Alligator mississippiensis: one gene and its partner. The protein of the gene in region 1 interacts with the protein of each later gene in a pairwise test. Links are inferred from orthologs where the notes say so. Each region holds a gene or a part of one and is shown on either strand. Other genes may lie near its edges.

The links.
Region 2: the proteins of ACY3 (region 1) and PMM2 interact in binary tests that used the Homo sapiens proteins (3 or more experiments, as listed by UniProt). The two-hybrid records come from large-scale screens. The link is inferred for Alligator mississippiensis from reciprocal best matches to the Homo sapiens genes ACY3 and PMM2.

What each region holds. Positions count from the first base shown.
Region 1 is NC_081825.1:176,370,424-176,378,763, reverse strand, and holds the start of ACY3 (N-acyl-aromatic-L-amino acid amidohydrolase (carboxylate-forming)), read left to right. Parts: upstream 1-4,761; 5' UTR 4,762-4,869; intron 4,870-6,627; 5' UTR 6,628-6,635; coding exon 6,636-6,868; intron 6,869-7,364; coding exon 7,365-7,560; intron 7,561-7,666; coding exon 7,667-7,760; intron 7,761-8,340. UniProt on the Homo sapiens protein: Plays an important role in deacetylating mercapturic acids in kidney proximal tubules. Also acts on N-acetyl-aromatic amino acids.
Region 2 is NC_081836.1:35,934,520-35,942,071, reverse strand, and holds the start of PMM2 (phosphomannomutase 2), read right to left. Parts: upstream 3,535-7,552; 5' UTR 3,482-3,534; coding exon 3,419-3,481; intron 1,983-3,418; coding exon 1,871-1,982; intron 424-1,870; coding exon 347-423; intron 1-346. Other genes in the region: TMEM186 (transmembrane protein 186), read left to right, coding at 3,560-3,565, 3,642-4,229. UniProt on the Homo sapiens protein: Involved in the synthesis of the GDP-mannose and dolichol-phosphate-mannose required for a number of critical mannosyl transfer reactions.

The DNA.
Region 1 (8,340 bases):
ATCTTGTGGTCAATCACGACCCCCAAGTCCCTTTCATCCATAGTGCTAGCCAGCGTACCACTGCCGAGCTTATAAGCATGCTACAGGTTTTTCTTCCCAAGGTGGAGAACCTTGCATTTTTCAGTGTTAAATACCATCAGGTTCTCATGCGCCCATTTCCTGAGCCTGTCAAGGTCAGCCTGGATTGCCCTCCTGTCCTCAGGTGTGGATGCTTTACCCCAGAGTTTGGTGTCATCGGCAAACTTGGCCAGCCCGCATCTGACTCCAATGTCCACATCATTAACAAAGATGTTCAACAATACAGGTCCAAGGACAGAGCCCTGGGGGACCCCACTGGTCACAGGGCACCATGACGATTGACTTCCATCAACCACCACCCTCTGAGTCCAACCACGGAGCCAAATCCCCAGCCAGTGGATCGTGGTGGACCCGAGGCCACAGTTGGCCAGTCCTGCCAAGACATGATCATGGGATACCAGATCAAAGACTTTTTTTAAGTCAAGATATATGACATTAATCTCCTCTCCCTTGTCCAGGTGATAGGTAGGTCACCTGGTCGTAAAAGGAAATAAGATTGGTCAAGCAAGACCTACCCACAGTAGACCCATGCTGGCTATCCCTCAAGATGTTGCTGTCAGCCAGTCCGTTAAGAATGGCCTCTTTAATAATCTTTTCTAAGACCTTGCCCAAGATAGAGGTCAGGCTTAAAAAAGGACTTCTTGTTATCCTTGATCCAGGTCTCTAGTCCCAGTTCCGTCTCCACCTTATCCTTCCTAACAGCCTCCCTACAGGATTGAGCAGTGGAGGTATAGTCCTCCTTGGTGATGGCCCCTCCCTTCCATTGGGTGTATGCCTCCTGGTGAAAGCTTTGAACTCCAGGTCTAATAGGCTTGGTTTTATGTGGCTTTGAACAACACTCTGGTTGGAAGCTCAAGTTCCACCTATGTCCTGTCCCACGTAGCAGCCAATAGTCCAACGTCCTGTCTCCAGCACTGTCTGCTCCAGGTGCCTCACAGTCAGGTATAAGCTGCTGGTGAGGAGTTAAAAATATTAACTCTTTTAAATTTTTACAAATTCCAATACCTTCTGCTCACTAAAAGGTCAATACACTATCCATTACAGCACAGAGTAGCCTGGCCCCTTGGGCAATCAGCCAACTGTACTTAAAGTGCTTTGCACTGGCGCTCAGTCCCATAACTGTTTGAGTGAGAGATACAGAGGATCAAGCCACCAAAGTGCCTAAGAATCTTTTTTTTTGTAAAAATATGTGTGTATGTGTATAGATATATACTCTCTCTCTCTCTCTCTCTCTCTCTCTCTCTCTCTCTCACACACACACACACACACACACACACACACAGAAGTTATATATATATATAGAAGTTATATATATATACACCTTCTAGCAACCTTTTCTTCATATACCTTAACTCACAAAACAAAAGCCATAAACCCATTACAATACATGCAGCCATGGATCTGCACTCCCATACACCCACCAGCAGGCCACACAAACCTGATTATACGGTCCCTTAGTCCACACTCTGGTTACAGGGTTTAAAATCTCAGTTCATTCTCTGTCACTGTCACTCTTGCTAGAGAATCTGCTGCTGCTGTCCTCATTGCTGTCTCCTGGTCTGGTTTCCGCATCACCCTCTTCTACTTTTGAGTGGAAAGGATGGAGAACAAACAGTTTGTTCCAGCAGTGGGCTTCAGACCTACATGGGCATCTAGCCATTCACATGAAGGCAACACCTTCAACATGCAACCAGTTTTATGTGTTTCATGCTTTCTCCATGTCAAGGTTTGTCCCTCTTCAACCTGTAGTGAGTGTCACACTCCTGGAGTACCTTGTGGGGAGCCATCAGACTAGGCTGGTCCTGTTCTCCTCCTGGCCAGAGCCTCCCACAGCTCTTCTCAGTGATGCTTCTTCCTCCTTCTCCTCCTCTCAGCTTTGCTCACTGCCTTCACCTCTGTCTGCAAGGGGTCAATCAAGTGTCACTTGCTCTATCTACCCAACACTTCCCCAGAGGTCTGCCTGCTTACAACCCTCCACTGCCTTGAGGGCCTAGGGCTGGACTCACACCCTACCAGTGGCCATGCCCTGAAGGTGAGGAGCCAGGACCAACTCTTTGTGTCAGTGCCTGTACTAGAAATCCCAGCAAACATCAGCCCATGGTTTTTCATTGGGGGTGGGGGGCACTGAGGTAGATGGTGTGTGCCCTTTGATTCCTCTGCTGAGGGCTGCAAAAGGGGCGGGTGTCACACAGATACTGCCTGTCCCAGCCACTAGGAAAGCTCCCAGGCTCAGACTGTTTGACACAGTAGCATAACTAGGGTTGGACAAGCAGGCATCAGGCAAAGTTATGACGTACAAGAGCTCTTGTGTCTTTAAACCAGTTAGTCCAGGGGTACTCACCCCACCCTGCAGGGCCAGATCTGGCTGCCAAAGTCATGTCATCCAGCCTGCGGGGCTCCCTATGAGTCCAAAGAGTTGGCAGTGGGGGAGCAGTTGCCTCTCTCTTGCTGCCAAATGTCTGGGCCCATGGGGAGCCCTGTATAAGGATAGCATGGTCCTGAGCACTAGATTGGGGCCTGGGGGTGGCCTGGGGCTGGATGGGGATGGTGCAGTGTTCCTAGGCCCAATCCTGTATTAATATACACATGTAGATGCACTCACTATGGACTTAGAAAAAGCCTGAGCTATGAATAATAGGTGCTTAATGCTGGTATATTTAAATGCTGCTGCTTAATAAACTTGCATTTAAATCACAAGCAGTGGCCTGGAAAGTAGAGTAAAAGTCTATTTATCAAGCCACTAATATTAAAGCCAAGAACATGTAACAGCTTTTTGGAAAAAGCATGAAACAGCCACTAAAAGTAACAACCAATGTTTTGCCATTTTATAACAACTGATTTGTACATAGTCAGCTAGAATCCTTCTGATATAATAATGTGACTTTGTTCACCTGTTGTCAGCCTTGGCCACCTTCAAGAGACTTTATGCTAAGTTACTGAAATGTGGCTGGAGCAGGCCACAATGCCTGTTTCAGAGTAGACCTTTGCGAGACATTACAACTGCGCCTCGTCAGCCAAAGTAAAAGAAACAGGAAACATGGGCAAACAGATTTCCCAGGTGGTGAGAGAGAGTGAGAGAGAGGAAGTCCTCTTTCGCAAAAAAATTATAATCGCTAAAACTTGTAATTGTTCCTTAATACGTGTGTAGCTTGCAAAAGAGTCCTGACCACAGACAAGGCTGTAGACTTGTCCCTCTAAAGACTAAATGGTATTGGACTTTGGTGACAGACTCATCTCTTGCTTGGGGTGGGAAGGGTCCCAGCAAATCCAGGAGGGGGAGGGATGGATGGAACTCAAAGTTTGGGGCAAAAAACAGCACATCCCTGCTCCAGTGGCTCCCCCCTGGAACGGGGGAAAAGTAATACAGCCCTGGGGTGAGCTGCTCTGCCAGGAAGCCAGACCAACAAGAGTGAGAGCTCCTCTACCAGGGCAGCTGAGTGTTGGAAGCATGGGCGACTGGTGCCTCCTGAGTCTGGGGGGGCACCAGTGGGGCACGACAGGGGGCGGGGGTGGTGGGGGGGAAGCAGCCAGTTGCTAAGCGCAAAAGTGCCATCACTTCTACATGTGGCATGGCGACAGTGACTTCCGCCACTGACGTCCCACCGTTGGACCCAATTTCAGGGTGGGCACTGGCACTTTCAGTGTCCCCCTACCAGCCAGAGCGCTCTCTGTCAGGGGGGGGCACCAGTGCTTTCTGGGGGGGGCATGTGCCACCCCTGGTGCATCGCCTATGGTTGGAAGCATTGGACTTAAGCTCCTTGGATGCACATCTGCATGGATACAAGCTGCACCTCTAGTAAGCTCTGCTAAAATCTCTGAATCTCCTGCCTTGAGCAACATACTTTCTCTACTCAAGACCAGTGTCTGAGAGAGTCAGGAGGGGCCTGAAGATTGCCCCCCCCCCCCCCCCCCCCCCCCCACCCCCCCCCCCCAATCACACAGGTCACTGCCAGCCCTGGGGAAACACTCACTCATATCCCAAGGGTCAAGAGTTAAAAATTAAACACAGTCTCACTTTGTGCTTCTGATCTTCAGGCACTTCTCACAGCTGGGGCCTGGTAGGGTGGGTGTTATGATTAGAGCCAGAGAACTTAATCAGTAGCCTCTGTCAGCCAGCCATCCAGCCAACCTAGCACTTTATCTGCATGCCTGAGGGGTAGGCAGGGCTGGGTCCTTCTCTGCCTGCCTCAGCCATACCTCCTTTTTCCCCCTAACAAGGTGAAGGGGGTGCCCTGAAAACACCAGCTTGCTGAGGGGAAGAAGCAGCTTTGCAGCGCACAACCGATCCAGGGATGTCCTGCCCCCAAGTACTACTAAGGCTGGGTAGGAAGAGTCTGGCCCTCTGTCACAGGGGCAGGAGATCTCCCCAGGAGGAGGAGGAACAGTGATGGGAAGCATCAAGACCATGTCCCAGTTCCCTGCTCAGCTCATACAGATGGGCCCACTAGGGGCAAGCTCGTCTTGTGCCCTGAGCCATCTCATCACGCCAGGTCTCTCCTTCCTTCTCAGGATTCCAGCATGACTGGAGCAGGCTGAGCTATGGGGCCGATAGAGTTGGGCTGTTCTGCTGAACTTTCCCCCAGGACTCAGGGGCCAGGGGCAGCAGGGAGGGAAGGAGAGTTGTGTGCAACCACGTGACAGTGCAGTCACCAGACCTGTCTGTACAAGGTTCGTTCTCAACTCCTCCCTCTCAACTTCCCATGCACCGTCAGTACACTCCACTTCATACGCCCTTGGCCTCTGCTCCTGCCTGGACCTCTGCAAGCCTCTTCCTATTCCCTTAGCAGGAAGGTAAGAGGGGTTCCCCAGCAAAGGCCTGAAATGATGCTGACCTTCCTCCCAGATGCCCCTAGGAGGATGAGGAAGGTTGCAACCCCTCACTCCTCCATCCCCTGGGACGTGGCCTGCTCTCCTGCACCATCCAACTTCTCACTGCTCCTGCTAAACAGGTGGGGAGGGAGGCTGGGATCACTATGCTGCTTTATCCGCATGGGGGAGAAGATCTCTGCGTCTATTTGCTCAAGAGTGCACTAGGTAGGGTGGAGAGAGGATGGCTGGAGGGGAACAACCCAGTCTCAGATGGCCCAGGTAATAGGAAGCTAAACTGTACCAGCTTCATCCTCAGCGAAAGAGGGTGAGTTATCAGGCATCTGCTCCCATTGAATCCAGTGTAAGAGTGTACAAATAGGCAGTAGCCACAGGGCAGCTGATATGTGTGGTGAATCCTCACCCCGTTTCAATGAGTCCCGAAGCCGCACCAACCGTTGGGGCATCTTTGATGTAGCAATAACTTTCCTCCATTCTTCCCTGTCTTTTGCAATCCCTGTATAGCCCATTTAACCCATGGTAAATTGTTAGTGTCCCTACGTGCCTAGGGTATGTTGCAGGACTGATACACCTCCTGAGTCTGAAAAGTGTTCAGAGGACAAAGCAGCCTCCCAAGCCTTTCACCAACAACACCTTCCCTACAGAGATGAGCAAGGGGATGTGCTACCCCTCCAGCCCGTGATCTCAGGGGCAAGTGAAGGAAGAGTGAGATCAGGAAAGCAAGCTCGTCCTACCCTCCTGCCCCTCTGTGAAGGTGCTGGGCTGTGAATCCTATGTTGAGGAAGTCCCTGGCCATCTGACTTGTCTATCTATAGTATCTTCTTTTGGGGTGTGGTGGCAGAGGCATGCTAGGGTCTTACTATGGGTCCTAAGGCAGGCATTCAAGGCCTACTCTGTACTCATGCCAGAGGCTGCCCCCAGTCAACCCAGCTGTGCATGGGCACCTGCTCATTCAGGGTGGGTGGGCAAAGGCAGGCGAGTCTGCTACTGGCCAAAGCCCTCCCTTGTGTCCCTCTAGATACAGGATTGGAGGTATCTCCACTGCACCAGCCCCGTGAGCTGCAGGGTGTGTGGGGCCCTCTGACATCAGAGCAGTCTCCCAGCCATTTCAGAAATGAATGGGCAAAGGAGTGAATGTGGCAGGGTGAACTGGATGGTGAACTCACTGGGCACTTCTACATAAGACAGTTACTGTAGAGTAGACTAATTAGCTCCACAGTGAATGTCTCAGCATCTACATGTGCTGGGGTTTTAGGCTGGAGTAAAATATTAAACTCCACAGCACAGTAGTACTTACATTTACTAGTACTACCCTGCTGTGGAGTTTAATATTTTACTCCAGCCTAATAATGTGCACCAATGCACATTTTCTACTCTGCAGCAACACAGATGTAGACCCTGACTCAGCTGGCTGGGGCACAAGGGTGCTTCAATGCAGGGAATGCCTGCTGGCTAGTCCCACACTGAAGCACCTTGTGCCCCAGCCAGCCCCTCTGCAGCATGTTGAGCTGAGTCAGAGCAGCCTCAGGCTGGCAGGCTAACCTCCCAGGCCCCCTACCAGTCAGAGCTGCTCCAACTGGGCTCAGTGTGCTGCAGTCCCAAGTGGCACCCAGAAGCAATAAACTCCAGAGCTATAAGCACCAGAGTTTATTGTGTTGCACTAATATGCACATGTGGACCCACCCACTGATGTCCACCTGCCCCTGCTTCTCTTCCCCGCAGCCGCATGCATGGCTGCCCTGCAGCGCCTTCAGCCCGTGAGCCATGTGGCTGTGAGCGGAGGCACCCACGGCAATGAGATGTCAGGCATTTACCTGGTCAAGCACTGGCTACGGGAGCCCTCAGCGCTGCAGCGGGACAGCTTCTCAGCCACACCCTTCCTGGCCAACCCACTTGCCATCGAGCGGTGCGTGCGCTACGTGGGGAGGGACCTGAACCGCACCTTCACCAAGCAGTTCCTCAAGTAAGTGAGCCCAGGGCAAAGCTCTGCATGGGGATGGGGGAGCTATCCCAGCATGCATCACTGCAGTGTTACCTGGGGCCTGGGGATGGAGGGAGATATCCCAGCATGCTACCAGGAATATGAGAATGAGCAAGCTATCCCAGCATGCACCACCCTGCAGTGCTGCTGGGGGAGCATGAGAATAAGTGAGCTATCCCAGCATGCACTGCTCTGCAGGACTACCTGGGACATAATATAAACTATTCCAGAATGTATCAAACTGAGGCAGTCCTAAGGGGTTTGGGAAGCTCTCCACAAACCTGTAGTGCTCCCCAAAATGGATGGAAACCCCCAAATCCCCTCCATGAAATGGGGCCTCTGAGCCCCTGATGGGTGCACTGTCATGCTACTCTCCCAGGGGACCCTGCCCCCAGGAGATTCCTCACTGACATCCCACCAGGCAAGGGGGTCCCCAGGCCCATGTGTGGCTTTGACCCTCCCTGTCCCCATGTCCCAGCTCCAAGGCGGCATGGGATGAACCCTATGAAGTGCAGCGCGCCCGCGAGATCAACCAGCTCTACGGCCCCAAGGGCTCAGCCCAGGCCTTTGACTTCCTGTTCGAGCTGCACAACACCACAGCCAATGTGGGGGCCTGCCTGATTGCCAGCGTCCAGGACAACCTGCTGCCCATGCACTTGTGCCACTTCATCCAGGTGGGCCCAGCCTTCCCAGGGCCCCCGTACCCGCTCCTGCCAGGGCAGGCCAAGACTCCCTCTCCTAACAGCTGCTGTCTCTGATTTCTCTCTCTCCTGTCCCCAGACCCACTGCACGCTGGGGCATTACCCCATCCTCCTGTACAATCTGCCAGACCAGGAGGCCTACTCCATCAGTTCAGTGGCCAAGCATGGGCTAGGTAGGGCGCAGCTCCACCTGGGGATGGGCAGGACCTGTCTAGCCCTGTAAGGTGGGCATTTGGGGGGGCTGGGCAGCAGGGCCTGGGAGCCAGACCCCTCCCAAATACACACCATCTCCTCAGCCTCCTATGCCCAGCATCTCCCAAGAAACTCCCCAAGCACCCGACCACTGAAACCTTAGGCCACCAATTATCCAACTCCCAACCCCTGCCCAGCCCACCATGTGCCAGAACCCAAGCCCTACCCCCTCTCCTTTCCCCAGCCCCCAAATTCCACCTCTTCTCACCTCACATGCCCCCCATGCCCAGCTCCCTTGCTTTTACCCATGATTCCAAGATCTCATCTCTGCTGCACCCATTCACCCACCCTCCTCCTTGTCATCTATGCACCCAGCCCACCCATTCCCCCTCCCCACTGCAGCCCCTCCCCCAAAGTGACAGGGGCATGCGCTGCCCAGGAGATATCTTCATGGGGCACAGTGCCATGGTATGTACATGTGGGAAAGGGGGCTAGCATTGTCCCCTAGCAGCTGTGCCATAGCAGCTCACAGAGCTGATCTGTGGGCTTGGCACATGTCTC
Region 2 (7,552 bases), on another chromosome or scaffold:
TCTAGGGTAGGCAAGATGCCACTCAGGGATTTTTCTATCATGGGAACTCATTGACCAGACATGCCACATACCCGATTGCTTTATACTTCCAGAGTAGCACAAAGAAATCATAATGTGAGAATCTGACCCTCTGCCTTGTATCAAATCTACACATTTAAAAGATTGAGATGGATGGTCAATTATACACGTAAAAGAAGAATTTCAGACTAGCAAAAAGATGATAAATGAAAATTGCAACTGCAAAACAAGATATAAAAAAAAATGCAAAATCTTAAGAGTAGAATACTATTTGAAAATGTATCTAAAGACTACATTGTCTGACAGTTTATAGGAACTTCAAACATACCTGCTTGGACAACAGTTTCCCATCTTTGTATGCTACAAGACCATTTTCTGGGAAGACGTAGTCAAACTTTTCAACCACTGAAACAAACAAAAACTGTTGTAATTTATTTGTCTTCACTCAAACTTCCACGTTTTTGTTGTAAATACTTTTACATATCATACACCAGGGTATTTTTACAACATTAAGCATAAGTGATGCTAAAATAAGATCTATAGAACAAAAGATTAATTTCTACTATTGTATTTTTTAAACTTTACATATAATCTAGCAAATTGACACATTCATCAATAAAGTTATTTCAATAAAGTTATATTTGCTTTTGGTTTGATCTTAAACTGAATACCATAGTGCTAGGCCTCTAGCATATTAGTAAATCTTGTAGTTTAAATGAAGAAAAATGTGAAACGTTACATGCAGTGATGTGCTACATCATTTGCACCCACATTTTCAAAATCTCAGATTACAAATTCAAAATCCTTGATTACAACCATTCAGAATGAGAGTAAAGAAGTAATCAACTACTGTAGATAATATAAGAACTTGCTATAATGTAGGTTTAAATAGAAGCCACTTCTAAGCCAAGTAAATGCAGGGTTATAAAAAACAGTTGCTGCTTACACTGGGCCTATGGCTATTCATACAGTTCTTTCACATTAAAAATGAAAGTTTCCTACCAAGGGCTTGGAACAAGCTACCTTATGTGACCACTTGGCTAGTAAAATCATCTTTTCCATGGATAAACACATAGTTTAGCAACCTATATCAAAGGCAATATGCAAAACTGCATTAGAGAGAAACTAAAAATTAGTATTCTAACACAACGGCATAACAAGCCAAGTTGTCATACAAGGCAAACCCTGCAGGAATTGGGGAGAGGGGCAGGGAGACAGGCAAGGTAAGCATGGAGTTCTGGGGGTGGGGAGCACACAGATTAGCAAGTGGGGGCAAGGGGCATAGGTCCCAAGAGCCAGGGCAGGAGGTGCGCAGGTCCAAGAGCAGGGAGGCAAGGGAGCAGCAGCCTCACCAACACTGGAAATGTCTGAACAGTCCCAGCTGGGTTGCTGTTCTACACATGCTCTTCCTCCCCTGGCTCTCTTGCCCTTACAGCAACAGCAGTCAGGAACTGCCTCTGAGTTCCCAGTGTGGCAGTGCTGCCAGGCCATGGGCTCTGCAGGGATGCGAGGAGATTCTGGCACCCTAACTTGGCACGCAGGGCAAGCTAGTTATGCTACTGTTCTACATTACTAGTGTGAAGTCAGAACTTCACTGCATGTAGCAACCAAAGGGTATAAGACTGAATCTTCCTGTGTAAAGTACAAGTACTTGGGAGACTTTTAATTTAACCCACTGCGGGCAATACAGTTTTAAATCAAGCAATCATCACACACTGACTGTGAATAGTGAACACTTCATGAGATTTGCGTACTACAAGGAAGGAGGAAGAAAAAAGGTTTAATTTAAGGTGTCAGAACTTCCTCATACGCAACAAATTTATCAACCTGGACCATCTCATCTCTTCCTTACCATCGTCTCCCAGCTGCTCTTTAATTTTTTCAAAGTCTGAACCACCTACTACTCCAACTCTCACCTTCTGCCGCAACTTCTGCAGAAATTCTCCCATTTCTGCTGTGACTTTCTAGATTTCAAAAAAAGAAACAAAAGTTTATGATTAGTGGGTAGCCTACGCAGCTTTAGCATAATTGTATATCTGAACATAGCTATTGTGGTGCAGGAGGAGAAAGGTTGCTGTGAAGCAAAATATGTAGGGCTTTAGGGAGAAAAATGCCAAAAAAATGCTTTGAGTGAAAAATCAACAAGAAAGCTGGTGCAATATGTAGCTTACTTAACATAGCATGCTCCCTCTTATGAAGGCCTAAAAATTTAAACCTCTTGACCTTCTGAAATACCTTCAGGGGTAGCCCCCATACGCCCTGAGTTCACATCTGGAAGTCACAGAGGCAGAGAGAGGCATAGCAAGATCTGTATGAGGATAAACACACAATTTTTACTATGGAGAAAACTGACTTTACTCGGTAGCAAAGGATCCAGGACACACAAACTCACACTGGCTTAAGTTGAGCCTTGTATGAGGCACAGTGGTCATATCCACTTCCCTAACTCATTTCCTCTGCCATAGACAGCCATTTGCTTCATTCAAACCAGAATGGGGCACCACCTAGCAGCCAGGATCCATAACGTGCCTGTGGGCACCTAGCTTGGAAGGGTGTTCTTGTGCCTGCTCCCTTACCATGGAGTAGTTTATTACAGAAAAAGATCCAGGCCTAATTATTCATCCAGGTTTATTTATTTGCTGTGTTTCCACACTGTAACTCACTTCCAGTACTGGAAGAAAACAGCACCTGTGGAGATAACGGCTCTCTGAAACTCCAGCAGTAACTGGGAATTCAGAAGCACCCTTGAGCTGTAAGACTGAAGCGTGCCCAAAAAGGACAGTTTACTGTCACGGACCCGCACAGGATGATTTCCGTTTGCTGTCTTGATCTGGCTTCCTCGGCTCACCTGAACGCCAGCCAAGAAGGAAGCGCATCCAGACGGCACCAGCTTTATCTAGTTACCAAATGCACAGGTGGCGTCGCCCGCCTGCCCGCCGCCCCTTCACTATTTCTCCAAAGGAGCCACCAGCCTTAGCAGGAGGAGCGACACCCGAGGGAGTTTTGCTTTGGCGTCCCTCAGCGCGACGGAGCAGCGGCGGTTTCTTTTTAGAGCGACTGCAGAGCACGTTATGGAGCTGCCCCGGGGCCTGGCTCCCCCGCCGGAGCGGGCCCGCTCGCCGCTGAGGGCAGCGCTGCCCCGCGCACGCCGGCGGCCGAGCCCCAAGCAGCCCGACGCTCGTGTAGGCGGGCACGGCGCCCGGCACAGCCCGCCCTGCAGCGCCAGCGACAGGCACCCGGGAAACCGGCCGGACACCCGGCGAGGCCAGAGCGCTCGCGCTCGGGGCGAGGGCAGCCAGGCCGGGAGGGGAGAGGAAGAGCTCGGGGAGGAGAAGCGTCGCCTGCGGGGGCCCGGCCCGCCCCGCCGCGAAGGGCTGGGAAGAAGCCGCCCCGCACTCACCTGCCGGGGCGCCGTGAGGGTGCCGTCCACGTCGAAGAGGCAGAGGTTGCCCGGCGCCGCCATGGCTTGCGGTGAAGGAGCTGTCGTGGCCGGCGGCCGCTTCCGGCCCCGCCTCTTCCGCTCCCGGCTCCCGGCGGCGGCATGGCGGTGAGTGCGGGGCCGGGTGGGTAGGGCGGCGCGGCACTGAGGGGCTCATCTCGTCTGTCTGTCTCTCCCTCCCCAGGCCGTCGCCCTGCGCTGCGCCGTGGCCGTGGCCGGAGGGCGGGCGGGCTCGTGGCGGCTGCGCTGCGTGTGTAGCAGCGCCGCCCCCGGCAGCCCGCCGCCCGCGCCGCCCGCGGAGCGCTTCACGCTGGTCTACAGGTTCCCGGGGATCCGCTACTGCCGCGCGCTGTCCCGCCTGAAGCTGCTGCAGACCGGCCTGACCGTGCTGGCCCTGCCGCCGCTCGGCCTCCTGTACGCGCAGGGCCAGGCCTCGCTGCTGCAGCTGCAGGCGGCGGGGGGCATGGCCGCCCTGGCCTTCGTCGTGCTCTACGGCCTCAGCTACTACCTGCGGCGCCTCATCGGCCTCATTTACCTCAGCGAGACGGGCGGCGTGGTGCGGGTGGCGCACCTCACCTTCTGGGGCTGGAGGCACGACATCGACTGCCCCACCACCTCCGTCATGGCGCTGGGGGACACGGGGGACAGGCGCGGTGAGCTGCTGCTCCAGTTCAAGCGCTACGACAGCCCACAGGTGCTGTACTTCACGCTCAGGTTTGGGCAAGTTGTGGACAAGCAGAAGTTCAAAGAGATATTTGGGCAATTCCAGTGACCGCAAGGGCACCCGGTTTTCCAGCTGTCCCACCTGCATTGTACTTCTTTTTGGTCTGTCGCAGGTGTCCGGTTACATCAACTTGTTGAAATAGTTGCACCTCCTTCTTGTATTAAATACCCCTCCTGCCAAACGTGCTTCAATCTGTGTTTGTGTAGAGGGGGAGGCAGAAATTCAACAGCCCTGTGGAGGGAAGTAAAATCTTTCCCCTTCCCACCCGAAGCCTTTATGTAACACAAAAAAAGGAGTTTGGCAGTAAAGTGATCTCAGCTGGAGGCTCACGCAGGCTGCTGTTTTACTTCAGTGCTCAGTTGCAGGGACGCAGCTAGTGGCAGGGTTTCTTTTTTGGTTCTCAGAGCTCAGTGCCAACAGTTGCTGGACCCTTGGAGCCTGGTGCACAAGCCCTTCCCCTGATTAAACTGCAGCGTGTAGCATAATACAAATTAATATGACTTGTGAGGAGGTGGCAACTTGTAGTCTCTCTTGCGCTGTTAATTGAGTAATGCAATTTTTGCATTCACAGAAAAACATGATGGCTGGATTTAGTCCACTCATATAGGACTCCACAGGTGTAAATACAAGCAAACTGTGTGAGAGAAAGTTGCTTTAGGTAATGAAAACGGCAATTTGTTCCAGAGTGTTTTGAAAGATTTTGTGGGGCAAAGTGTGACAACATCCAGATATCAGGAAGTAGGAACAACATATGGGTAAGAGGATTTGGGCAAACTGAGTAGAAATGTATACAATTGGGTTGTTCCTTTATACTCCAGTTTTCCCTGCCACTGTGACTACTGGCTGTATAGCACAGTAGTCATCCTAACCTTCCCCAAAATATCTGCAGCCCTGAGCTAGAACCAGGCACATGGTTTGTCATTATGAAACGAGCCTAGCCCTCAATATAAGGCGGACTCTATACATTACACACCAACCAGGGACCTAGAGGGGAGAAAGCACTACAATATCCAGAAGGCTCAGGGCTCTGCTCTAGAGAGGTGTGTATTTGCTAACTCAAAATCAGTTATCTTAAAGCGATAGGACAGCAGGAAAGCCAAGATAGATTAGTCTATCAAGTGCTTGTACACAGCAAATTAAAATTCCAAGAAATAATTATCTTAAATCATAGGTGGAGTTGAATGCACTGTTATTTCTCTGAGGTACCTGAGGTTGGAAATGTGATAATCCATGAGAAACATGTTTGAAAAGTTGACATGTTCAAGTATCTGGAGTCAGTTGTTCAGAAAAAGGGGGAGTTAGAGAAAGAGTTCAACCATCGAATAACAGCAGGATGGATGAATTGGAAATGGATGACAGGAACATTATGTGACAGGAGAATATCTGTGAAGCTGAAGGGGAAAGCCTACAAGATGTGTACATCCAGCAGTATTGTAAGGAGCAGACACATGACTCCCAAAGAAAACTCAAGAAAGGAGACTGAACGTTACAAAGATTAGTGCTCCGATGGATGTGTGGAGTGACAAAGATGGATAAAGTAAGGAATACCTGCACCAGAAGATCAGTGAAGGTAGTGGAGGCATCTAAGGAAGTACAAGAAAGAAGACTGGCATGGTATGGACATTTTCAAAGGGAATTCGGAAGAATAAGAGGGGGAAAAGAAGTTACCAGAATGGGACTACAAGGGAGAAGAGGAAGACTGAAGATGATATGGAGAGAGAGAGTGGAGAGGACACGAGAAAAGAAGTTGGAAATGATGCATATGACCGAAGCCAGTGGAAAGCCAGGCTCCACAACAGCAACCTTGTTTAGACGGGACAAGCGAGGGGAGAAGAAGAATCATAATAATCCATGAGTGAAGTGGAAGGGGAAAGCCTGTAAGATGTGTACAAGTATTGTAAGGAGTGGAGACATGACTCCTAAAAAAAAACTCAAGAAAGGAGACTGAACATAACAAAGATGAGAATGCTCCAATGAATGCTCCCCTGCTAAACCAGATGGGACAATTGACAACAGACGCCCAGGAAAAAGCAAACTTACTAAATGGGTACTTTGCATTAGTTTTTCACCAGTCCCATGGGACGCCCCTGCCCACTGCGGGACAGAGAGGCCCGGGGTGAGGGAGATCCCTTACCCTCCATCAAAGCTGACCTCGCCAAGGAACACCTTGAGAGGCTGGATACCTTCAAGTCAGCCAGCCCTGACAGTTTACACCCCTATCCCGGGGAAGATCCTAGAAAAGATTATCGAAGAGGCCATTCTTAACCGACTGGCTGACGACAACATCCTGAGGGATAGCCAGCACGGGTTTGTTGCGGGTAGGTCTTGCTTGACCAGTCTCATTTCCTTCTACGACCAGGTGACCTATCACCTGGACAAGGGAAATGAGATTGATGTCATATATTTTGACTTTATAAAAGGCTTCGATCTGGTATCCCATGATCACCTCTTGGCAAAACTGGCTAACTTGGCCCCACCATGATCTGCTGGCTGGGGAATTGGCTCCACAGCAGGTCCCAGAGGGTGGTGGTTGATGGAAGTCGATCGCTGTGGTTCCCTGTGACCAGTGGGGTCCCTTCAAGGCTCTGTCCGAGGGCCTATATTGTTTAACATCTTCATTAATGACGTAGACATTGGTGTCAGAAGCGGACTGGCCAAGTTTGCCGCTGACACCAGACTCTGGGGTAAAGCATCCATGCCTGAGGACAGGAGGGTGATCCAGGCAGACCTTGACAGGCTCAGGAAATGGGCAGACAAGAACCTGATGGTGTTTAACACTGAAAAATGCAAGGTTCTCCACCTTGGGAGGAAAAACCTGCAGTATGCTTATAGGCTTGGCAGTGCTACGCTGGCCAAGGGACTTGGTGGTCATGATTGACCACAAGATGAACTTGAGCCTTCAATATGATGCTGCGGCTAAAAGTGAGCAAAACGCTGGCTTGCATCCATAGATGCTTTTCAAGCAAATCCCAGGATGCAAGTCTCCTGTTGTACTCTGCCTTGGTGAGGCCGCAGCTGGAGTACTACGTCCAGTTCTGGGCTCCACAATTCAAAAAGGATGTGGAGAAGCTTGAGAGAGTGCAGAGGAGAGCCATGTGCATGATCAGAGGTCAGAAAACAGACATGATGAGAGGCTGAGAGCCATGGGGCTCTTTAGCCTGGAAAAGTGCAGACTCGGGGAACCTGGTGGCCGCCTGTAAGTTTATCAGGGGTGCTCACCAGGCACCCCTGATAAACTTACTGATAACAGACCTGATAACAGACCTGGGGGAATGTCTGTTTACCAGAGCGCCCCAAGGGATGACGAGGTCAAATGGTTACAAACTCCTCCAAGACCGTTTCAGGCTGGACAGTAAACAAGTTCTTCCTTC